Linked DNA regions of Caenorhabditis elegans. The protein of the gene in region 4 interacts with the protein of the main gene of each other region in a pairwise test. Each region holds a gene or a part of one and is shown on either strand. Other genes may lie near its edges.

Region 1 (4,209 bases), on a different chromosome or scaffold from region 4:
AGACGTGAAAGAGAAGAGAGACACAGAGAAATGAGAAGACTTGGATAATGAGTGCCTGAAGCTGTTATTTGAAGGGTTTCGTTTCACACGAATATCATATAGAAAAACAAAGAATTTAACAAATAAAAGTATTAGCAAAACCTACCGGCCGCGATAATCAAATCCGTGGGTTCCTTCCATTCAGAGAAATCAAAATCACACCAATTGAGTGAGCGAACTGTTGCTTGATTGTTGTTGGCTGACGAATCTACAATTTAGATTCTAAATATTTTTAAATTTGAAATACGGAAGGAGTCGATTTTATTTCTCAAAAAATACCTTCAGTATCACTCTTCAGATCGTTTTTCGCAATATTCTCTTCTAAAAGATTCAGCACATTATCATCATAATCAGTGAGCGTCACACAACAATCATTCATTTTTGCAATTGCAATTCCACTAACACCACATCCTGACCCGAGTTCTAATATTCGATTGTACTCGGAGGGAATCAAGCGAAAAAGATTGGCGAGATCACAAGAAGCTTGCCAAACTGATAAGCCAGTTGTACCCATTGATAGTTGATTTACAGCTTCCGAGAATTTCGCTAGAACTTTGTCGCCTCCATCGGTTAGGTAAACCTGAAAATATGAAATTATTTCCATTTGAGCTGACGAATTGTTTAAAAACTTACTCTTTCCACATATTCTCCTTCTTTCATTCCCATTAGAGAACCAAGCCTGTCGAACATTGAATCAGGAACAACAACATTATTGGCTTGAAGTTCAGAAATCAAGTTTTTAAGAACATTTATTTGAAATTTGTAACGAATTTCATGCGATGTGACAATTTCATTATTGAAGACATTGTTGCAAAGATTCTCAGCATATTCCGAATCTTTTATGCATTGTTCTACAATATCCTTCATTAGCTGATCCGGAATTTTTGAAGCGCTACAATAAAATCTTTTGAACTGGAGTTCAGTTGTCTCCTTTTCTGAGTGGACCATCCCGCTCAGTTCTCCGTTTTCTTGACATTTTGTGAAAATTTTGCGTTTTCGTTCTGACTGAATAAGCGGTATCAGGAGGAAGGTATTCGGGTCTTGCATGTGGAATTCCGTAGTGTTCTGCTTGAACGATTCGCTGCTCCGCTTGATAGATTAGTTTGCCAATCACTATTGGGTCTTTTTCCTGAAAAATCCCATATAATTAGTTTCCACATCAATATTGAGAACGAGAATACCTGCTGGTGCTCTCGGAAAGCCTGACGAGCTTCAGTGATAATTTGTTGTCTCTCAACTACAGTATTTGTTTCTTCTTTTGCTTTCCAATTCTTGCCCAATTTTAAAATCTGTCGATAGAGCTGAATGACTCGAATACTTTGTGGCACTGTATTCATCAAGGTGGACCCGTTTCTGGAATTATATTCTGATTATGCGAGGAAATTTGGAGAAAACAAATAAAAACCAAAAATTGAGGTGGCGTCAAGTGGCGAATGTTGGCGCGTTTCGTGTACCTTGCGCATTTCTCGATTAAACATTTTTATTTTTACACGCGTTCTTGTCGGATTTTTCACATTTTTATACGATTTTCTGATTAATTTTTCTGTTTTGTGAATTATATAAATTCATGAAAGTCTTGTAACTATATTTTAAATGCTCTCGAATGTTATTGTTCCATTTCCATTTCTTTTGTCGTTGCTATCGTTTGGCCTAAAATTGCATTTCAACACTATTTTATATTTATTTCAGGTATGGCTCTACCAAAGTTTGAACTGTTGTCATTGGCTGATAATACAGTCGGATGGGGTCCATTGGCGTCGAGTTCCTCTGCTGATGAGCCTGTTCCATTCCAACAATTCAACAAGGCTGATCGCATCGGACGTGTTGCCGACTGGATTGGTGTTGATAGATTCTATAGAAGAGGAAATGAGAGGTTTTTATACAACAAATGAGTGGTATCGTTAAAACTTGAAATTTAGATACAATGAGCGTGTCTATGGATCCGCCGCCAACGCTGGAAGTCAGTTCGATTACATTCATGGAATGGATGAGCATAACTTCCAACTTGTTGACACTTCTAAACCAATGGCTCGCAATCCACAGCGCAACTTCCGTGTCCGCCAAATGCATCTTCGTAAGATGATGCAGAAAGAAAATGAGAAGCGTGAGATGGTGAACCAGTCAACGAATTTGAGAATGAAGAGAAGTATCGCCAAGGAGCAACAACGTGCCTTCAAGATGTGGCAACGTCGTGGAGGAAATGCTCGTCAAGGACAACGCGGACAAGGTGGTCGATTCGGAGGTGATCGGCCGAAGGAACGTCTTCCATCTGTTCAAGTTAGACCGGAATGGGTTGTTCTTGAAGAAATGAATCTTAGTGCGTTTTCCAAACTTGCTCTTCCTAACATCCCAGGAGGAGACGACATTGGGGATCACCAGTATGGAAGTCTTCAATACTATGACAAGACTATTGATCGCGTTTCTGTGAAAAATTCTATTCCGCTTCAAAGATGCGCTGGCGTGTTCTACAATGTCACCACAACGGAAGATCCTGTAATTCAAGAACTTGCTCAAGGTGGTGCTGGAAATGTTTTCGGAACAGACATAATTCTTGCTACTTTGATGACTGCTCCTCGTTCGGTCTACTCGTGGGACATTGTTGCCTACAGAGTCGGAGACAAACTTTTCTTCGATAAGAGAAACACTAGAGATATTTTGAATCCAGTTGAGACCCTTACTGTTTCCGAGACTAGTGCCGAACCACCATCATTCGACGGAAATGGTATCAACAATGCCAAGGATCTTGCGACCGAGGCATTCTACATTAACCAAAACTTCCGTCGTCAAGTCGTCAAGAGAAACGACGCAGGATTCACCTTCAAGAATGCTCGTGCTCCATTCGAAGACGAGGAGACTGGAGAGTCAGGAACTGCTTACAAGTAGGATTTTCGTTTAAAATTTTGATCTTTAATTAAACAATTTTTAGATACCGTAAGTGGAATCTTGGAAACGGAGTTGATGGAAAACCAGTTGAGTTGGTTTGCCGTACAGAATTGGATGGAGTTATTCACGGACTCGGAAATGAGACTCAGACTCTTACAATCAAGGCATTCAACGAATGGGATAGCACACAATCTGGAGGTGTCGACTGGAGAACAAAGCTTGATGTTCAAAAGGGAGCCGTAATGGCCACCGAAATCAAGAACAACTCAGCTAAGGTTGCAAAGTGGACTCTGCAAGCACTTCTTGCCGGTTCCGACACAATGAAGCTCGGATATGTGTCTCGTAACAATGCACGCAGCACACAAAATCATTCTATTCTACTCACCCAATACGTAAAGCCAACGGAGTTTGCTAGCAACATCGCCTTGAACATGGATAACTGCTGGGGAATTCTTAGATGCGTCATTGACAGGTAAGAACGAGCACATCCAGACTGGTAATCAATTTTTTCCAGTTGTATGAAGCAAAAACCAGGAAAGTACTTGTTGATGAAGGATCCACAATCTCCGGTTATCCGCCTTTATTCGCTTCCAGAAGGAACTTTCGAAAGCGAGCGCGAGAGCTCCGACGAGGAGAACTCGGATGACGATCAATAAAGTCCCCGGTTTCTGACAATTTCTTGTATTCGCTTTTCTAATTATTGTCTCTTGTTAATTAAACTTGGTTCTGATAAGATAAACTTTATTCAAAATATCATTCAACATTGGGATTTAATCGCAGCGTGCAAACCGGTAATTTGGAAAGAATCAAGCCCGCATAGTTCATTGGAAATCGCAGTAAGTTCTGGAGAAGCGTTGTCCTTCTTGAAGTAGTCGTCTCCAAGCTCAACATCGACGAGGCAAATCCTAAATTTCAACATTTTGAAATTTTTTAATTATGCATTTTTTAGAACTTACACAATGAAAAGAGCAATAACGATAGAATTAATTTCTCTCTTTGTCCAGCCAGTGATATTTTCCGAATCGAGTTGGAATGTCGAAGCTACTCGACTGAGAATATCACGACGAGTTGGAGTTAAATGTAAACGTGCTTCCAAATCCATCCAGCTGTAATTTCAAAATTAATATTTAAAATTGCTAGATAAACTCACTGATTCCTAATAGAATGCAGGAAAATATTCAATCTCTTCTCTTTCACATTGTACTTATCAAGATTCGGCAAATTGACCAATTTCTCCGCGTCCACCTTTTTACCGGACAAAAAATCCATCAAAATTTGCTCAGCAGC
Region 2 (7,943 bases), about 11 Mb from region 4:
CCAACGCAGACAGGTGACCGAAGCAGTGTGTCCACTCAAACAGCGAACTACAGTACCCTGTACGGTATCCCAAATGAAAATATTTCCGTCTTTTCCACAAGAAGCCAGAAGCCTGCACGTCGGGTCTTTGTGCATCGGTTGCCATGCCAAACTGCAAAAATTTTATTATAAAAATTCGATTTGAAATGGAAATGTTTAGTTTTTATGTTGAAAAATTAATTTTTGGCTAATATTTGAGAGAAAAACTCGGGTTTTCTGAAGCTTTCTGTTAAAAATCACATTTTTCCACTATGGATGATAAGTAAACTCATAGAAAATATTAAAAATTCGATTTAAAATACCCAAATTATTGGAATTCGAAATGGGTCTGCTAGACTACAAATTACAAATTTCGATTTAGCAGACCCAAGTGGTTTTGAAGAAGTTTGGGTCTGCTAGACTACAAACTACAACTTTCGATTTAGCAGACCCAAGTGATTTTGAAGTGATTGGGTCTGCTAGACTACAAACTAGAAATTTCGATTTAGCAAACCCAAATAATAGTGATTTTCAAAAGGGTTTCAGTAAAAATACATCGTTTCAGTGGGGTTTTAATGGAAATTTTAAGAGAACATTGTAGTGATAAATACAATTTTACGGCGATTTTTTGTAGAAAACCCAAATTTTCAAGACATTTCAGTGATAAATGCGATTTTCCTGCACCTCGTGATCCATTGCTTGTGCCTTTTGAGCGTTTTTCCGATTTGCTCTCCGGTTTTCGCGTTCCAAATGCAAATTTCTCCGTTTTTGCAAGCCGAAGCGATTTTCGTAGCATCCGGTGACCAGGCGATGCAGAGAACCCAACTTTTATGGGATTTACACGTGTGGAGAGGCAACTCGAGCTCAATATCCCAGATTCGCATTGTTTGATCGCCGGAGCCCGACGCTAGACCACGTCCGTCAGGGCTGAACTGAGCAGAGATTACTGGCTCTCCGTGACCTGAAAAATATATTTAAATGCGTCAAAACGATCAAAAAATTACCTGGAATGCTAGCGGAGCATCTGGTAACTGGTCTCACACGGAACACTGCTTGTGGCTGATAAACAAGCTTTAATGTCTGAAATTTTAAATTTTTTAAAAAGTTTTCTATCTTCTTTCAAGGGCTTACAGTCTCAAAATCAATTTCCTCTAACGATTTTCGAATGGAATCGACAATTTCAGCGCCTTCTGTGGTGAAGAAGGAAATCGGCACAGGATCGTCACTGAAAACTCAGGATGAGATACAGAAAATTCATTATTCAAACAAAACCTGCTCCCGAGAAGCTGATTACACAAAATTTGCAGCTCATTCGTGGAGATGTCCACTGGAACAAGGATTCCCGATCCTCCGAGCTCGTTTTCGTCCTCTGACACGAAGCTGACCGAGATTTGTGGACTTTCAGTCATTTTGTTACCTGAAACCGTTTGAGTTTTAATTATTTTGAAAGTTATAACAAGGGAAATCGTTGAAATTGAACTGGAAATCGAAGAAATTCGTTAAGAAATTGCGCTAAATAAATTATTTTTCTCAGTGGAGCGAAGAAAGAAATACAGTGGAAAAAGTTAGGCCATCACTTTTTAGCATTCATTTGTATAGAGAAAACTGTAAATTTTTTACAGATTGTTATGTTTTTACACAATATAAAACATTTTTAACGTAACAGCAGTAAAAACTATGTCGAAAACAATAAAGAATAGATAAAAACCTACCGGGAAAATTTGAATTTGGTCATGGTCGAGTTCTGTAGTGGCCTAGTAACCTCCACTTAATATTCGAAAACGTTTATTTTTCAGTTTATTGCTTTATTTCTCTATTTTTAATTAAATTATTAATTTTCCTGAATTTTTTGCGAAATTTACGAATTTTCAAATTATTTATCTTATAAATTTGCAGAAAATGACTGCAGTTGTCTCAAACCGCGAGGAGGACTCGATGAACAACGAGCCCTCGTTGTCAGGGCGTGCGATTATTGGATTAATCTACCCGCCGCCGGATATTCGCAGTAAGTTTTATAGTTTAAACCAAAAATAAAACAGTTCTGCATGGTTTTGGAAAGATTTCACGCGGAATTCCGCAAAAACTAGGGCAAATCGATATTTTCCAAAAATAAGCAATACATTTTCAATTTTCAGCAATCGTCGACAAAACCGCCCGTTTCGCTGCAAAAAATGGAGTGGACTTTGAGAATAAAATCCGCGAAAAGGAGGCGAAAAACCCGAAATTCAACTTTCTCTCCATCACAGACCCATACCATGCCTACTACAAAAAGATGGTCTACGATTTCTCAGAAGGCCGAGTTGAGGCTCCGAAAGTACCGCAAGCAGTGAAAGAGCACGTGAAAAAGGCTGAATTTGTGCCTTCAGCTCCACCGCCGGCCTACGAGTTCTCAGCGGATCCATCCACGATTAACGCCTATGATTTGTAAGTTTTTTAGAACTTCTAGAACTAAAATTAGATGAAAAAGCTATTTTTAACCTAAAATGAAGTGAAAACCTTATAAATTGCAGAGATTTGATCCGACTCGTTGCTCTGTTCGTTGCACGAAATGGCCGTCAATTTCTGACTCAATTGATGACACGAGAAGCCAGAAATTATCAATTCGACTTTTTGAAACCGGCTCATTGCAACTTTACATACTTCACAAAGCTCGTTGATCAATATCAGAAGGTAAAAATCAAGAAAATCTGCGTATTTCTAAGAATTTTTAAAAAAATCTAGATTTTTCGGTTGAAAACTCAAAAAAAATCCAGCTTTTTCGGTAGAAAACTCAAAAAAAAAACATTTTGATAACTTTTTCACTATTTTCAGTTTAAAGATGGCGGAAAAGTGAGCTTTATAACTTTTATTTGAAATTTTTAAGCTAAAAGTTGCTAAAATATCAGTTTTCAGGTTCTGGTGCCCTCTACCAACGTAGTTGCCCAACTCCAAGACGATGCTACCAACAAAAAACGTCTCATAGAAGATATCAATTATCGTGTATCCTGGGAAAAACATCAAAAAGGTCTAAAAGATCGCGAGGAGGCAGAAGCCGAGAAAGAGCGTCAAGCCTATGCATCAATCGATTGGCATGACTTTGTAGTTGTTCAGACTGTAGATTTCCAGCCAGGAGATACTTCTCAGCTTCCACCACTATGCACACCAAAGGACGTTGGAGCCCGTATTCTTTTGGAAGCGAGAAATGAAATGCAAAAGGCGGCGGCTGAAATGCAGGAAATGGATATGGAAGAGAGTGATTCCGATGACGAAGATGCCGTTCAAGGTGCTTTTTTGGAGCATTTTACGTTGAAAATAGACAAAATTCACTTTTTTCCGGTTTTTTCCAACAGTTTTACTTTTAAAATAGATGGAAAACAATGGCAAACTATGAAAACGCTGAAATTCAAATTTAAGTGCTTCCAACCTGGAATATTTAAAATTTTTAGGCGAATTCACATTTTATTTCGTAGAAAACGAACAAAAATCGCAATTTTGAGTTAAAAAGTAAGATTTTTTGGGTCTGCTAAATCAAAACTTGTAGTTTGTAGTCTAGCAGACCCATTCTCTTCCAAATCACTTGGGTCTGCTAAATCGAAATGTGTAGTTTGTAGTCTTGCAGACCCAAGCTCTTCAAAACAACTTGGGTCTGCTAAATCGAAATGTGTAGTTTGTAGTCTAGCAGACCCATTCTCTGTAGAAACTACTTGGGTCTGCTAAATCGAGTTTGTAGTTTGTAGTCAAGCAGACCCAATTTCTTCCAATTCACTTGGGTCTGCTAAATCGAAAGTTGTAGTTCGTAGTCTAGCAGACCCAAAAAAATCAATTTTTTTTTATTAGCTTTGGCAAATTTTAACTCGGAAAACTAATGAATTTTTGGGACATGTGAGTTTCTATCCAAATTGATGGTATGAATATCGATATTCTCGGCTGAAAGTGCAAAAACTACCGTATTCTGACCAACAATTATTGGAATAGAGCACACGTGTCACCCGAAATACGAAAAGTATTTTTTTTTAATTTTTCAAATTTTTAAATTAAAAATGAGTATATTTATATATTTTCAGCACCAGAAGCCCCTGCATTCACTGCTCCGCTGCCACCTACAAAACAGAAAGACGTGATTGTTCGAGATTACGATCCGAAGAGAAATGTGACCCAAAAGCCAAAAGCTGTGGAGAACTGGATCATTTCACCGCTCACCGGAGAGCGTATTCCATCGGATAAGCTCGCCGAGCACGTCAGATACAATACTGTCGATTCACAGTATAAAGAGGACAGAGATCGTCATATTGGAGAAAGAAGCACGGAGGAGCCCGTATTGGCTCTTGGAGCTGATATTTCTAGGTTAACATTTCAGAAATTTCTTTGAAAAACGAACAAAAGTCTAAAAATCGCCACAATAATCTACAAAAAATCGATTTTTCGTGGAAATTTTGTTCATTTCCGCATTTTTCGCTCGAAATTTGAGATCAGTGCTTCAAATTAGACCTGGAAAGATTCTAGCTCAATTTCAGAAAATTTGGGTTATCGTAGCACCAGAAGTACTCAAACACTGACTACAGCACACCTAAGCACCAAATTTCACGACAGTGGTGAATTTTGAGCTAAAATCGATTTTCAGGAGTAAATTAGAGTGCTAAATCTAAAATTGGAATAAAAATGTCTTAAAAATTGTAAAAAGTGAAAATTAAAGATTTTCAGACAAATTTCCGATTACAAATGCCCACAAAAGATGTTCAAAGCTGAAAATTATAGATTTTCAGACGAATTTTCATTTTTCCACGTGCCAATATCACTAAACCCCAGTTTTTTCTTTCAGAAATCTTGGCAATTTCGCTGAACGTCGTACGGATATCTTCGGTGTCGGCGGAGAGCAGACTATGATCGGAAAGAAGCTCGGCGAAGAGGACAATTCGCAACAAGGGCAGAACAAACTGATTTGGGATGGAACTGAAGAGACTCGGGATATGATTACCCGAGCTGTACAGAATAAAGTCACTTTGGGTACGGGAAATCTAATTTTTTGGCGAAAATTTTGAGTTTTCCGGGATTTTGTTTGGGAAAATTACACGATTTGTGTGGTTTTCTATGTAGAAATTTCTCTAAAACACTCAAATGTTTCAAAAATTCGAGTTTTCATGAAAAACCAGTAATTCAAAAAAAAAGCAATTTCCTCTAACAAAAACCGTGCCAAGTTTTGGATTTATGATATTTTCCATCTGAAAAAAATCTGGTATCTCGGCTGAAACGGGCAATATATACCGTAGTCCAAGTTTTCCCAAAAATTCCAACCAACAATTTGTGCAATAAAGCACAGTTGCCACCGGAGATGCAAAAGCTATGTTTAATTTTCCAATTTTTGGCTGAAAATTGAGCTAAAAATTTACAATTTTCCCGTCATAAAACTCACCGAAATTTCGCTTTTCAGTGTTTTTTATGCAAAAAAATTAATCATTTTTCATTTTTCAGACCAACAAATCAACGAAATCCACCGTCAACACGGATTCGTTGCCGATCCATCAAAGGAAAAGATTGGAGCTCAGCAGGTGCCACGTCATCAATCGACCCAGGGAAATGTGACAATTACTCAAGGAATAACGAATATTCCTGGACAAATGCCATCCGGATGGCCGCCGGTTCCACCAATGGGAATGCCTGGGATGCCGAATCAAGCGGTATGGGATTTTTGAGTTGAAAAATCTCCAAAAAAAAATTCGTTTTTTCATGTAAAATCCTGGAAAAATCGGATATTTCGACAAAAATTGTCAATTTTTGGACCAATTCTCTTTGTATTGCAAAAACGAATCGAAAAATCCCAAATTAAACATGAAAACTAACATTTTCAATTTGGGTCTGCTAAATCGAGTTTGTAGTTTGTAGCCAAGCAGACCCAATTTATTCCAATTCACTTGGGTCTGCTAAATCGAAAGTTGTAGTTCGTAGTCTAGCAGACCCATTCGCTTCACAACAACTTGGGTCTGCTAAATCGAGTTTGTAGTTTGTAGTCAAGCAGACCCAATCTCTTCAAAATCCCTTGGGTCTGCTAAATCGAAAGTTGTAGTTTGTAGTCTAGCAGACCCAATCTCTTCAAAATCCCTTGGGTCTGCTAAATCGAGTTTGTAGTTTGTAGTCAAGCAGACCCATTTTAAAATTAGTTAAAATTGGTTAAAAATCGCGAATTTTTGCTGATTTCAGAGAGATATTGTATTTCTTTCGAAAAATATAAAGAAGTGGTTTTTTGTGTATTTCTGTTTAAAAAAAAATAAGAAAAAGCTACACCAGGTTAGCTGAAACTATATTTTTGTTGAAAAATAGTGAAAACGCCACCAAAAGTTATCTTTAACCGCGTAATTAGACGATTTTTCGGCGGAATTAACTGGAAACTGTGTTAAGATTAAAATTACTGAAATTTCCACAAAATTAAATTTTTTTAAATGTAAATTTCATCTCAAACGGACACAGAAATTCCCATTTTCACTGGAAATTCTCATGAAAAGCTCCAATAAAATGCATAAAGCTCTATAATTCCAGCTTCCTCCAATCCGACAAATGGACTTTGGCGGTGGACCTCCAGCGAAGCGTCCTCGTACCGAAGATGATTTGATACCAGAAGCTGATTGGCTTAAAAAGGTCAACGGAGCAATTTCGCTTAATGTTCATCTTCCACAGGCTCCCGAACACGGAATGGATGGCTCAATTGTGCAGTTTACAATTCAAGTTACTGCACCGGTGAGTTTTAGATAAGAAAATTGTTTTTTTCCCCTGAACGAATTTTTTCACCTTTATTTATTTATTTATTTATTTATTCGCTTTTAAACCATTTGAATAGTAAGTTGATAATAAACATAAAGAATAGGTAAGAGGCGAACAAATATAAGATGACCGATTGGACAAAGGTCCGTGGCCAAATGAGGGTGGGGGTATGAAAGACTTATTTACAGAAGCTTTGATGGGGGAAAAAAAACTATAAGTGAGATCACATCATAGTGTCAAGGGGCAGGGAACAAATACGTTTGGTAAACGTTTCGGCTGACACTGGTTTACTGAACAACTTGGCAAGAGAGTTCCAAAAAGATAGGTATTTATGCAAAAATATTTGTTTGTTGAATGGCCCATTGGGAACCACCTGATGCCCAATTAATTCATAATTTTTGCAGATGTCCGAACTCAAACAACAAATCCAGGATCGTTACGGAATGCCTGTTGGAAAGCAGAAGCTGATGTCTGATGGCCTTTTCGTGAAGGATAATATGAGCTCGGCCTTCTACAATTTGGCAGATCGGACGGCGATTTATCTGCAAGTGAAGGAGCGTGGAGGAAAAAAGAAGTGATGAGCTATCGATTATTTATTACTCTTATTAATATTTATTTTCTTTCAAACTTTATTCTAAAATTGGACGCCAATTTTAATTCTTCAAATCTCAACTTTTCTTCCAATAAATTTGTAAAAAAACCGTTCTGTAAATTTGGAGTGGAAAATCTAAAAGTTCAGACATGGCTATACAAAATTCAGATTCAGCATGTCAAATTACCCCGGGACACTTTTTCTCCGGCTTTTAGCCTTAAATTTCAGAAAATTGGGTTACTGTAGCACCAAAAATACGCAAACATCGACTACAGTACCCCAAAACACCAAATCTTACTACACTGAAGAGTTTTGGGCTGAAAATTGATGTTTAGGGGTAAACTGGAGTGCTGAAATCAAAAATTAATATGAAAATTCTAAAAAATCGATATGAAAATCTTAAAGTCCGGCATTTTCAGACAAATTCTTGATTTTTCTTGGTTCAAATAATAAATTCGAATTTTTTTGTTTATTTTGTTCAGATATCCAGATTTTTTAAATTTTACTTGTTACAGGACATTTTCAGAACAAAAAATACTAGAAAAACAGAAAAAAATTGCGTTTTCAGTAAAAACAAAACATTTTTTGCACAATCTGAAAA
Region 3 (5,664 bases), on a different chromosome or scaffold from region 4:
ATAAATTGGTAGTTTTTAATATATTTTGCAGCGAGCACGAAAAGATCAAACATATTTTATTCTATAGAAAACAACTGAATATAATATCAGGGCTTGATCAATGATTTATAAAAATTAAATTTCCAGATTAGAGAACCTACCATCTGTTCAAGCATCTATTTGATAGATTTACAGAACAAATTGATAAAAACTTGAATTTAAAAAAAAAATTTCAAGAGGGCATAACTTTTTTTTTGAAAAGTTTTCAAGAAGTTTCATCATGAAATTCGGCGTTTTCAGACAATTTTGAGTCTAATAAAGAAATAAAAATTCGACTACACCACCTTTACATTTACATCTTTTTTGATCATTTGTGTGTGTATGTGTGTGTGTGTATGTGTGTGTGTGTGTGTGTGTGAATATTTCTGTTTTCTAATATTATGTCTATCCCCGCCGCTAGTGAGCTTTCTGTTGTTGAAATATCTAATAATTAATTGCTACCTTTTTTCCACTATCTTGTCTCTTCCCTATGCCAACTATCTCTGCGTCTCAATTTAAAATCTGTAATAATATATCTATGTCTGTCTCTCTCTCTCATCAACTCAATCTTTTCTCTGTCGTCTCTTGCCCTTCTAACTCTCTCATCACTCGAGACCAACTCTCTTCCCTCTGTCTCTGTGCTGTCCCCGTGGTTACCCTTCCACTTTTCGGTCTCTTTCACCTTTTCTATTTGTCCTTTATGTCTACCCATTTCATGTAATATTTCATTTCACATTCTGTTTCAATGATCATATTCAAAGTTCAGAGACAAAAATAGAATAGTCATGGGAATATGTGCAATGCGTTCAGATACTATGTCTTGCTACTTTCCAACAATTTGAATCTGATTGTATCCTTTTCCAAATAACAATATGTTTTTGATCTAGAATGTGATACTTTCTTCAGCACTTTCAATTTAATTAATAAATTTTATTCTTTCTAATCTTAAATCTTATGAGATATCTCAATTAAGGCAAATAATTTGTCTCGTTCGTAATCTGAAACTTAGAAAAAGTTCAGATACGCAGAGAAACGAAACATAAAAACGACGTCATCACGAGATTTGTTATCGTTTTTTTTGTGGTGAAAGGTGTGGAGAGACTGAAGATAGAGTTGGTTGGCAGACAGTATTTGTCGCTATAAAATTACAAAATTTTGTTTTTTTTTATTGGAAATTTTTTAGCAATGCGCTATATTGAACAATCCATAGAAGAATTAGCGGTTAGAATTATTACTTTTTTTTTCAATGTTTACTTAAAATTGAATTTTAAAATGCAACATTTATGAAACTTTATAATATATTTTATACGAGAATCACTGTTTTGAGTCCTGGCACGAGAAAAACTTTACAACTACTTAGCAATTTTTTGTCCATTTTTCTCGTTGTCTTATTTATGAGAAACTTATAAAATTTGTCACGAAATTGCAACATAATCTATTCAAAGCCTACTGGGTTTAGCTTGAAATCGCATTAAAAAAGTTCACTTAAAATTTTTTGAATTAATTTTTAAAAAGTACCTTAAAGAAATTTTGGCTGAAAATATAAAATTTCGAACTGTTTTGGAAACTATGTTGAACTTTGTCAATTTGTTTGATGAAAAATTAGAATTTTAAAAATTCCCTAAATCATAATATTTTGAATAACATGTTGTACTTTGAATGTAATACTTCGGAGTTAGATTTAGTGTGGTGTTTTTCAGCGACGGATTATTATTTTCTAATCTTCCTACTCTTTGATATTCTCTTATAAAACTTTGCGAATTCTTTGAGAAATCATGGATTTTTGAACACTCGTTATTATTTTAATATTTCTTGAATAACAAGGAAGGAAGCTCAGAGAAAAGTGAGATTTTGTAGAAACTATCTTTCTACGGAATCGTTATTCATTTTTAATCCATTGCATCTCAATCCATTCCATTTCCAGTTTCCTCGTACTTTGCATGTACTTCTTTCTTATTTTTCTAGAAATCTTGTCTTAATTTCAGCCAAATGACGGGTGGAGGTCCGTCATCAAATAACTCGTCTCAACCTGAAGAGGTATGCTTGGTTTGTTCCGATATATCAACTGGTTATCATTATGGAGTTCCCTCATGTAATGGATGGTTTGTTTTTCGTTTTTTTGTTGTTGTTCTAAACCCTTAAATAAAAAATAATTAAAGAGATTCTAAACTTTAAACCAAAAACTCATGAAATTAAATGAATTCAACTTCTGCAAAATTAGCTATTTGTTTTCCGCGAATTCTCATTCCGTTTAATCAACGATTTTTTTCCAAGAAAACTAAAATCCAATTTCTATCAAAAATCAAGAAGCTTAACTGAATTTGTAAGTTGAGATTGCAAAGTCATAATCAGACTCTAATGTTTCGCAGAAAGAAACGTAGTTTATTAAAACGAATTATGGCACAAGGCATAAACTTTTTTTTTGTTTTTGGGGGATCTCGGGAAAAACCTATGAATAAAAAAAGTGTTTGCATTTTGCACGGATATGGTGAATCAATGAATTGGAAACGTAGAACCTTAAAAGGTTCAAATTTATATATTTTTGGCTTCCATCGTAGGCAAGTCCTTAAGCATTGGTTTTATTGTAGGCAGGAAAGTAGGAGAGTTTCATTTTTAGTGTCCGAGAGGGACATGTACCTGGTGCTAGGAATATGGAAATTAACTAAAGAAAAATGGAAAATACAAAAAAAATCGGATTAAACTTTATAATTTTTCAGCAAAACCTTCTTCCGTCGAACAATCATGAAAAACCAAACGTTTAGCTGCCAATTTCAAGGAAAATGTCCAGTTGATAAAAGTTGGTTTGATGATTCTAAATCGTAGATTTAACTCTCTAATTCAGGTATCAGATGTGCGTGTAGGCATTGTCGATTTGAGAAATGTTTACAAGTTGGAATGGATCGAAATGCAATTCAACAGAACAGAGATCCAATTGGATATACAAAAAGAACACGAAGATATCCACCAATTAAAAAAGTTGAAGCCAGTGATGAGTGCTCACCTGCTATGGTAAATTTTTCAAAAATAGAAACGATTGAGCCATTAAGTATTTATGGGTTTCAGTTTTATGTATAATTTTTATTATAGTAAAAACATGTAACACTTTAATTTTGTCTAAAAACGAATAACATTATTTTTTCAAGCAGTGTCTCTAGGAATTTGTCTCAATTACTATTAAAATAAAATAAAAATAAATAAAATCACGATAAAACAATCCAAAAGATTTTATTTCGAAGGTGGAGTAACCAACAGAACTACCCACCTTTTTGATATATTAAAATACTAAAAAATTAAATTTAACTTTTCAACTACTTTTCAACAACTATATTTTCTACGCTAAACACAAATCATGAAAAGTAATTTTGGTGCTTGATCCTCTAGAGTATGCAAATTCCAAGGAAACTAGAGAATATAATTTCACCTGATATTCTAAACAAAAAATTCAATTACACATGTCTATACATAAAGCTAATATATAAATTTAATTTGCAGGTATCTGAAAATGATCGCAGTGAAGACAATTTCCTAACGTTATTATCATCAACGGAACAAAAGTGTTGTGCACTCAGACTTGCAGAATATATGCCATCAAGAACCCTAATAGAAGCAGTTGTATCAGATTGTTTACTTACAGATGAAGTTTTTATGGCTGAACACGCTATTTTGGTTAGTGAATTAGCTGGAAGTCACTTAAAAATGAAATAATTTCAGTCACCGCGACACCGAGTAACATCCCTCAGGTTTGCAAATCAATCAGATTATCATTATTGGCACGAACGAGACTGGTTTGTGATGATCGAATGGGCAAAGACGTTGCCAGTTTTCCAATCACTTCCATTCACGGATAAGGTACGCGTAGTTGTGAGGACTTTAAAGCGTCATAAAAAGTTTCAAAACTTATGAGAAGAAGGTTTCTAGTGGAATCCTAGATTTAAAGTCTGGAAAATCTGGAAAATGTGGGCATTAAGAAATTTTAAATTATTGCAACCTGTTCGTGTGATGTTTAAATTTTGACTAAAAATTCCGGCATCAGGTCTTGGAATATGCGAAAATTTTTACACTTTTACACAATGCACTTTTTTGCCTAATGATCGGGCAGCTGATTTTCTGCAGCTCGAGCTATAGAATATTGATTTTAGATTTAAATTGCCAATCTATTTTTTTTGTTAATTTTCACTAATGTAAGCCTAATTTATTCTTTCAGCTTGCTCTTCTTCGACATTCAGCCATCACATATCCATCATTGGTTCATGTATTCAATTCTCCAGATCATGGTCTTGACACGATTGTCTTCCCAGACGGTGCCTATTTTGACAGAACACCTGAACCAACTCGTCCTCTTGGATTCAACAAAAAGAAGTATCAAATGCTTGATCAATTGTTGAAACCAATGAGATCAATGGAAATTGACATGACTGAATTTGCTGCATTCAAAGCAATTTTCTTTTTGAATCCAGACGCTGATGATGTTGATTCGAATGCAAAAAAGACGTTGAGTGATGGAAGAAGTGCAATTACAAATGCTCTTTATCGGTATATGGTCAAGAAAAAAGGAGCAGAAGATGCTGGGGATAGGTTTGTTTTTTCTCAAGTTCTATTGCTTCATAAACTAAAATTCAAATATTTCCAGATTCGGACGTCTTCTTCTTCTCGGTACTGTCCTCGCCACAATGGCTGTTGAAATGAAAGAAGCAGTTCTTGTTGCTGATTTCTTTGATCAAATCCAATTTTCGACGTTTGCCAAACAACTTTTGTTTGGAATCAAGACTGAATAGGTTATGGAAACAGTTTCCATTATCGTCATAGCGTATCCATAAGTATAATTTCATTCCCATATCTGGTAATAACTCTTTCTCTACATTTTGTCGATATCCATCAACTGTGCCTTACCGTTTTACAAATCAGTGATATTTTATTTCCAACTCATATTAATTCTAATCACACCATGAATTTATTGTTGCCAACGGGTCAAAATCTTTCATCATCATCTAGAAAATGTTCATCTTCTACACCTCAAGTTATTTTTTTAATTCGCCAAATTTCCGATTATTTTCCATTGTGATTTGCAATATACCGATTTGTGGTTTTTAAAAATTGAATTCATATATAAATACTTCGAATTTCTAAAAGTGTTTTTTTGATTGAATAATCAAGATTTCAGATATTGACATTAAACCAACAATTTTGCGGACTGCCGAAAACGGAAAATACGAAAAATTTACAAAAAAACTCATTAAAGTACATAAAATCTCGGATTGAAATTGTGAATAGATCTGAATTGCCAAAATTTCAAATTTTTATCTAAAAACACACATGTTGGTTAATATTTACGTTTGAATTGCATTTTTGAATTCGTAAACATGTATAAATAGATTTTTTCATTTGTATAATAACATCCTGCTGTTTTTCATTTAATTATTTTAACTGACCACTGCACTGAAAGCTGTCTAAACAGTTCGTAAAGCAACACCTCTACAAGAAATAGTGTTGACAAACAAGAGACTACAGACCACACACGGTATAAAATGACCAATTGAAATGAGATGCTATATTGGAATATTTATTTCGAAAAACATCATATTATGAAAAACCTTGGTGCTGCAATTCTAGCTGTAATTTGTCTGCAATATGCTGATTCTGCAGCAG
Region 4 (5,992 bases):
CGAGCATTTCTATATAGAAATGCCCTAGATCTATGTTGTTCCAAGTCATTTGAAGATAATTTTCAGACTGAGCAAATATTATATTTTCCACAAAATTTTGATGAAAACATTGAGAGAACATGCCAAACTGCTGCGCACCCCTGATCTAGCTCCCCCAGATTTCCTCCACTTCAAAAAAAGCTCCCTGTCATCAGGAACTGACAAATCCTGACAGTTCTACCAACAAGTACTTCCCCTCTTGCACTTCCTCAAATCCCGATCACAATTAGCACGCAGGTGTTCGCATGACACCTCTAAGACACCTGAACGTGATCGATGGGGTCTTTTGACGCACATACCGCCACCCCACAAAAAGTGTCTTCTCCGCAACATTTGATCGATTATTTCTTCTTCTTGTAAGAAGAGGAAATAAGATGTGTTTTGATAGTGGTCCGAAGGAATGGGCCTAGATTGATTTACGAGCACTTTGAGGGCAGACGCCTTACTCTAATTGCATATCTCGCGGAAGGAGGGTGGAGTTTACACAATTCATTCACATTTACATTTCATCACATTCATGTTCGCTTTTCAAGGGTTACAACCTTGAGGACACTGCTTTTAGATAAGGAACACGAGATGGAGAAAGTTTTGGATTCGAATGTGTCCTACTGTAACATAATCCTTCGAGAGTGCTTGTTGATAAGATATTGAAACTTAAAGCTTAAAGCCACGTGGGAGAAGCAACAAGGTTTTGGAACTCTGTAGGTTTCCTTTTTAGATGTTCTGGGCTTAACTTTGAGCTAGCTAAATAGGTTTTGGTTCTAGCTCATGAATATTTTCATACATTTTAAGTTTTGTAGATGCTAAGTTTTTTTTAGCCTATGCCATTTTTTCCATTTTTAGCATGTGCTTTTCCGCTTCCTTGAGCTCTGTTGCTTATAAACTAAAAAGTACCAAAATATAGAGGATCTGCCACGTGGCATCTACTAGATGGATTTATGATTATTGAGCAATGTATTGGGCTCACAACAGTTTTACAATGACGATATGATATCTGTCACTTGGGCTTCTATGGTAGACAGAGGCGATATCATGGCGATATCAGGAACAACATTATTACGTCCCTAAGTAAGGATTTATGTTGAGTATTGATTTAATCAACTAGCACCTTTATTATTTGTGTATTCAATTAGTGCAATAAAAATAATAACTCACTGCTACCTGTCAAAATCAAGATAAAAGGTCTCTGTAACCGGTTAAAAGGTTAGATCTATAAATGACAGCGCATCTTTTCTATTTGTTTGTTGGCACTATTAATTTATAAACGTTAATGTTATAGTTAAGAAAGTGGATAAGATTACAGAACTATTCTACAATGATTTTGGGGTTATTTGCTAAATCCTTGTTAATTCTTAAATCCCATTGACATTTCCTACATGGATTTAGGAGCCTCTACATCCTTCCTCCTCATGTATATCCGACCCCGCCCACATTCTTATTGGTTGCCGTCCGGCTCTTCTCCGTTTCCCATACGTTCTTCCTCTTCAATTTTTACACTTTCCTTTTGCTGTCTTTTTTCTTCCATTTTTGACAATCGTTGTGCTTCTTCTCCAAAACTTTTACGATCTCCGTTTATAGATTCGACGCGCATCGATGACCGCCACGACAGTTTCGCCGATTTTGGGCGCCGAATCAATCTTGTCGATGAGCGAGCTGCATAAAGTTGCAAATGCAAAGTGAGTTCAAGTCTTTAAATGCTGCAAACTAAAATTTAATACTACTAGATTTAAAAAAAAACGGTAAAAATGCCCAGCAGCGTCGTGTTTTCTCTATTAGTTTTGCGCCATCATTTTTCAACTTGGACAGTGCATATTTCGATAATCTTCTATTTAATCAAGTTAGTTCCTACTGATAAATTTGTTTTAAAGTTTTTCGCTATATTTTATCTGTTGAACAATTGTTGATACCACCAAAAACAGCCAAGATAAAAGTTATGTATTAAAGAACGACAGTGACATACGGTAAATTATATTTGAATTAAAAAGGGGTTTCCAGGATTTTTAAAATCTGAATCAAAAACTATTATATCAACTTTGAAAGTAGTTTTTTTTTTTCGTTGCAAAACCCACATGTACCTTTAATATATGTACTAAAACTTTGACAACACTTTTTGCTATTTGCTTGAGGTTCTTGATAACCTTGCTTTAAGAGAAATTGGTCAAAGTTTGCACCATGTTCGGATTGGAGGGTGGCTGGGGTGAAGCCCTCTATTATAAGATGCATACCGATCCCTCAGAGGAAGCGGCTTAAATACAATAAATGTAGGCGGAGAAACAATAAGATAACAAAAGAATGTCGTGGGAGGATTCTAAATAATAACAAAGCTCAATATTGCGATATCAATCAGACAATAAACAATATCTGTCCTGGCGGAAGGGCAAAGAGTGCGATATCTCGCACATCAAGTTCCAGCCAACTTTTAGGCTAGGCTTCACTAAAAATCATGTAACCCGTAAGCGCGGCAATTTTTTGAAGTTCCCCGCGCCAAAGGTCACTCCCCTTCTTGCATAACTTTTTAAGTATGTACTAGTCGGTCACTTCAAAGTGATTTCGCGCCTTCCTCCACACGGAAATGTCCTTACAGGAAAAAAAACACAGAGGCTAATTGGATTTGTTGCGACCTTTTGCGTAACATCATACCGTAATCCCCCACACACATAGAAGAAGGAATTAGGGAATTAGCATAAAAATATAGGAAATTGAGATGATTTGGTAGTAGCACTTGAGAAAAGAGCCGCCAGGTGTACACAAGTGTCGGTAGGCTTTTTAAGGTTACTTGTAGTAGTTTTATATTATGGGGATGAGCTTTATTGTGGGAGTGGGGTCTTCGGGCTCCCACCAATCAGCAACTTTGACTACACCCCTTGCGCGTCGCTAATTGGTTGGCTGACTCTTTCAATTAAATTTCAAATTCTTAATTTAAAAAATAAAAACTTTGAGCATGATAAGGGGGTATCTAAAACATTCACGCTTCTACAGTACTCCCCAAACACCTTCTAGTATACAATATTTGCTTACATGAAGATACCCACACACACACATACATACATACAATTCACATCCGGTGTTTGTCATGTTTGTGTGGTTGTGGTGTGCCTGATTAAAAGCCATCTCTCTTTCCATCATGTCCTTTTGCTATCCAAGCGTGACTTTATGACCATCTTCTCGCCTCAATTTCGAATTTTGTGCCGCTTCAATTCACCGTGTAGAGTTGAGTGAAGGGGGCTTGGGATGGGAATGTAGCAGAAATGGTTTGGGAAAACTTTTTAAATGCGATATTTTATCGTGACATTTTTGGAAATCGATATTTAAATAGATTAGAAAAGGTTCGCCAATTGTAATTTCGGCAAATTGTGGTTTTGCACAACATTTTTTGAAATTTCAGAATTTTAATTTTAATCGGCAAAATTGTACGTATCCTATGAATGTTCCTACATCTATTTTGAAAAGTAAAAATTCTATGAAAATATCTAAAGAAAACGGGAAGAAATTTTCAAAAAGGCAGTGTTTCCGTCTTATAAAAAAATCCTCTGAACATTTCCGGCAAACTAATAACCGGCAAATCGGCAAACCTGGCTTTTTGCCGATTTGCTGAATTTGTCGACAAAAAAAATTTCCGAACGGAAATTGCCGCCCACCCCTGATTCAAACATTGAAGCCAGCACTTGTTGTCCTCGGTTTTTCCGAAAAATTTTACACTGACAAAAAATTTAATCTGGTTTTTTCTACAGTTAATTTCTAATTAATATATTCAAAAAATTTAAGCTTCCACAGTAAAGCAAAGCATGATTTCCAGAACAAAAGTCGATGACTACTTTGCAAAACGAAATGAGTTGCTCGAGGAGCTCAGCGAGCTGGAGAATACTGAAAAGTTTATCAAGGAAACTGCCAAGACTATTGACGAGTTGAATAAAGAGAAGGAAGAGCATTCGGAGATTATTCAGTTGATAAACCAGGTAAGAAATAGTTTTTTAAAAATAATTTTTGAGAGCTTGCAAACTTTGACAAGCTGTCAACTTTTTTCTAGAAATCTAAAAATCTACAAGCTCATAGGAATATATTTTTTTAAGCATTGATAGATAAATTTTGCCGCCTCTACAACAAATCTGCAAAGAACAGTGCAACACACAACTTTTTCAGGACAAAAGCGATTTGGAACGGGAAATTGCTGCGGCAGAGACGGAGAAAAAAGATCGAGAGAGCAAAATTGTTAAAAGATACGAAGCACTGCTGAAATTAATTGAGTCCACAAATGAGAAGCTTAAGGAAACTGGATGTGATATTGCTTTGAGCCAAGATGATCTACCACAGACTCATTTGAAAATGTAGGTTTTTTTTCTTGAGGAGCTAGAGTCAGAATTTCTTCTACAGTAAAGTGAAAACTTCAAATATGAACTTTTCTAAAGTATTACAGGCACCAGATTAAAAGAATCATGTTATTATATTTCAGTGAACCCCCAGCAGCTCCAGTCACTCCGGTTCTATCCGGCGGTCTTCCATCTCCATTTCCAAACTTCAACTTCCGAAATTTGTTCCAACCAATGCTACTTGAACAGCTTGGCAGTTTTTCGACAAATTCACCGACCCCACAGTTCAGGCCACCACCGCATATGGCTGCAGCCATGCAGCATCATCAACTTAAAGTCACCGATCACCAGTCACCGCCAATGAAGGTAGTTAAGAACTTTTTGTAGTAGATTGGGTTACTGTAGGTTGCGTAGTTAGGAAATTGTAAAAACTGGTATTATTGTAAAAATATTAGTTATTTTGGAAAAATGGTTATTATAGAAGTTGAGATACACTATGTATAAAAACTATGGTTAATGTGAAATAAAATAAAAATATTAGGGTGTTCCTACGTGTACTGTAGAAAAAGAGGTATTCTATAGAAAGTTGCTGTGCAAATATATAGACAAAATTATTTCAACTGGAGACGTTTTAAACATATGACAAAACGGTAGTACATGAGAAATGATTTTTCCGGCAAATCGGCGAATTGCCGGAATTGAAATTTCCGGCAAATCGGCAAACCGGCGAATTGACGGCATGAGAAATATCCGGAAAATCGGCAAACCGGCAATTTGCCGATTTGCCGAATTTGTCTAAAAAAAATTGCCGAACGAAGATTGCCCCTCACCCTTGGTACAACCAACTTTATTGTAGTATTGCTCCAGACCCTGTATAGTTTTCCCCAACATTTTCCCCAACAAAAATTCTCGTTTCAGACTTGCCAATCCTGCTACCAACAAATTCACCGAAATGCTCCAATATGCCCAATGTGTAAGAGCAAAAGCCGGAGCAAGAATCCAAAAAAACCAAAGAGAAAGGACGCTTGAAGATTATTTTTCTACCATTTTTTAAAAATTATTTTTTGCAATTACTTTGTGATCTCCCTGAAGACATAAATGAATATTAATGTACATTATTTCCAATTTTTTGATATGTTTTGGGAAAGCCATCTAAATGATGAGTATATAAACATAGAATAGGTGATGAGAATGTCAATTGACAGGTCCTTGAGTACCACGTCCTTTAGATATGTCAATCGAGTTGCAAAATGATGAAACTCATTCTACAATAGTTGTGTCTTGTTTTCCAGCTGCGGAGTGTATATGGGATCAAAATTTTGCTCCAAAAATTTGAGTCTAGAAGATTTTTTAAAATAAACTTCTTTTTTTTTGAGGTCCCACCGGGTCCAGAAATATTAAAAAATACAACATTTAAGATTTTTCTTACTTTGAAATTTTTTGGAATATTTAAAAACGAAATATTAAAAAAACTATTCAAAATTAATTTTCAAAAAGTAATGGCCTAATTTGAAAATGTTCTAGACTCATCGAAAATTGAGAAGTTCTAAAAATTTCAATTCATGATTTTTATATCATTTTCTTACTTTAAAAAAACCCCCATTGAAAAACACGGCTTTGACCAAATTTTAATGGTAGGCAGGCAC

What was found.
Region 1: the proteins of vab-23 (region 4) and eif-3.D interact in a two-hybrid assay, tested with the Caenorhabditis elegans proteins (one large-scale study listed by BioGRID).
Region 2: the proteins of vab-23 (region 4) and prp-21 interact in a two-hybrid assay, tested with the Caenorhabditis elegans proteins (one large-scale study listed by BioGRID).
Region 3: the proteins of vab-23 (region 4) and nhr-10 interact in a two-hybrid assay, tested with the Caenorhabditis elegans proteins (one large-scale study listed by BioGRID).

Annotation. Positions count from the first base shown.
Region 1 is NC_003281.10:8,969,098-8,973,306, reverse strand, and holds eif-3.D (Eukaryotic translation initiation factor 3 subunit D), read left to right. Parts: upstream 1-1,728; 5' UTR 1,729-1,730; coding exon 1,731-1,912; intron 1,913-1,958; coding exon 1,959-2,918; intron 2,919-2,965; coding exon 2,966-3,394; intron 3,395-3,436; coding exon 3,437-3,578; 3' UTR 3,579-3,672; downstream 3,673-4,209. Other genes in the region: R08D7.4 (Complex1_LYR_dom domain-containing protein), read right to left, coding at 146-247, 319-619, 673-1,086; Putative RNA polymerase II subunit B1 CTD phosphatase rpap-2, read right to left, coding at 3,680-3,827, 3,879-4,028, 4,073-4,209.
Region 2 is NC_003280.10:482,952-490,894, forward strand, and holds prp-21 (uncharacterized protein), read left to right. Parts: upstream 1-1,914; 5' UTR 1,915-1,917; coding exon 1,918-2,023; intron 2,024-2,153; coding exon 2,154-2,442; intron 2,443-2,528; coding exon 2,529-2,688; intron 2,689-2,910; coding exon 2,911-3,280; intron 3,281-4,061; coding exon 4,062-4,341; intron 4,342-4,816; coding exon 4,817-5,001; intron 5,002-5,466; coding exon 5,467-5,672; intron 5,673-5,930; exon of another isoform or gene 5,931-6,013; intron 6,014-6,528; coding exon 6,529-6,726; intron 6,727-7,154; coding exon 7,155-7,328; 3' UTR 7,329-7,452; downstream 7,453-7,943. Other genes in the region: gldi-1 (NLE domain-containing protein), read right to left, coding at 1-151, 703-979, 1,023-1,098, 1,150-1,243, 1,291-1,427.
Region 3 is NC_003281.10:7,111,778-7,117,441, reverse strand, and holds nhr-10 (Nuclear hormone receptor family member nhr-10), read left to right. Parts: upstream 1-2,003; 5' UTR 2,004-2,007; coding exon 2,008-2,120; intron 2,121-2,735; coding exon 2,736-2,815; intron 2,816-2,860; coding exon 2,861-3,027; intron 3,028-3,510; coding exon 3,511-3,684; intron 3,685-3,729; coding exon 3,730-3,867; intron 3,868-4,222; coding exon 4,223-4,593; intron 4,594-4,648; coding exon 4,649-4,793; 3' UTR 4,794-5,147; downstream 5,148-5,664. Other genes in the region: B0280.7 (uncharacterized protein), read left to right, coding at 5,601-5,664. UniProt on the Caenorhabditis elegans protein: Probable transcription factor that acts in a feed-forward loop with nhr-68 to activate genes involved in the vitamin B12-independent breakdown of the short-chain fatty acid propionate.
Region 4 is NC_003280.10:11,896,836-11,902,827, reverse strand, and holds vab-23 (C4H2-type domain-containing protein), read left to right. Parts: upstream 1-1,617; 5' UTR 1,618-1,632; coding exon 1,633-1,715; intron 1,716-3,824; coding exon of another isoform or gene 3,825-3,835; coding exon 3,836-3,995; intron 3,996-4,179; coding exon 4,180-4,364; intron 4,365-4,489; coding exon 4,490-4,712; coding exon of another isoform or gene 4,713-4,733; exon of another isoform or gene 4,734-5,264; coding exon 5,265-5,375; 3' UTR 5,376-5,463; downstream 5,464-5,992.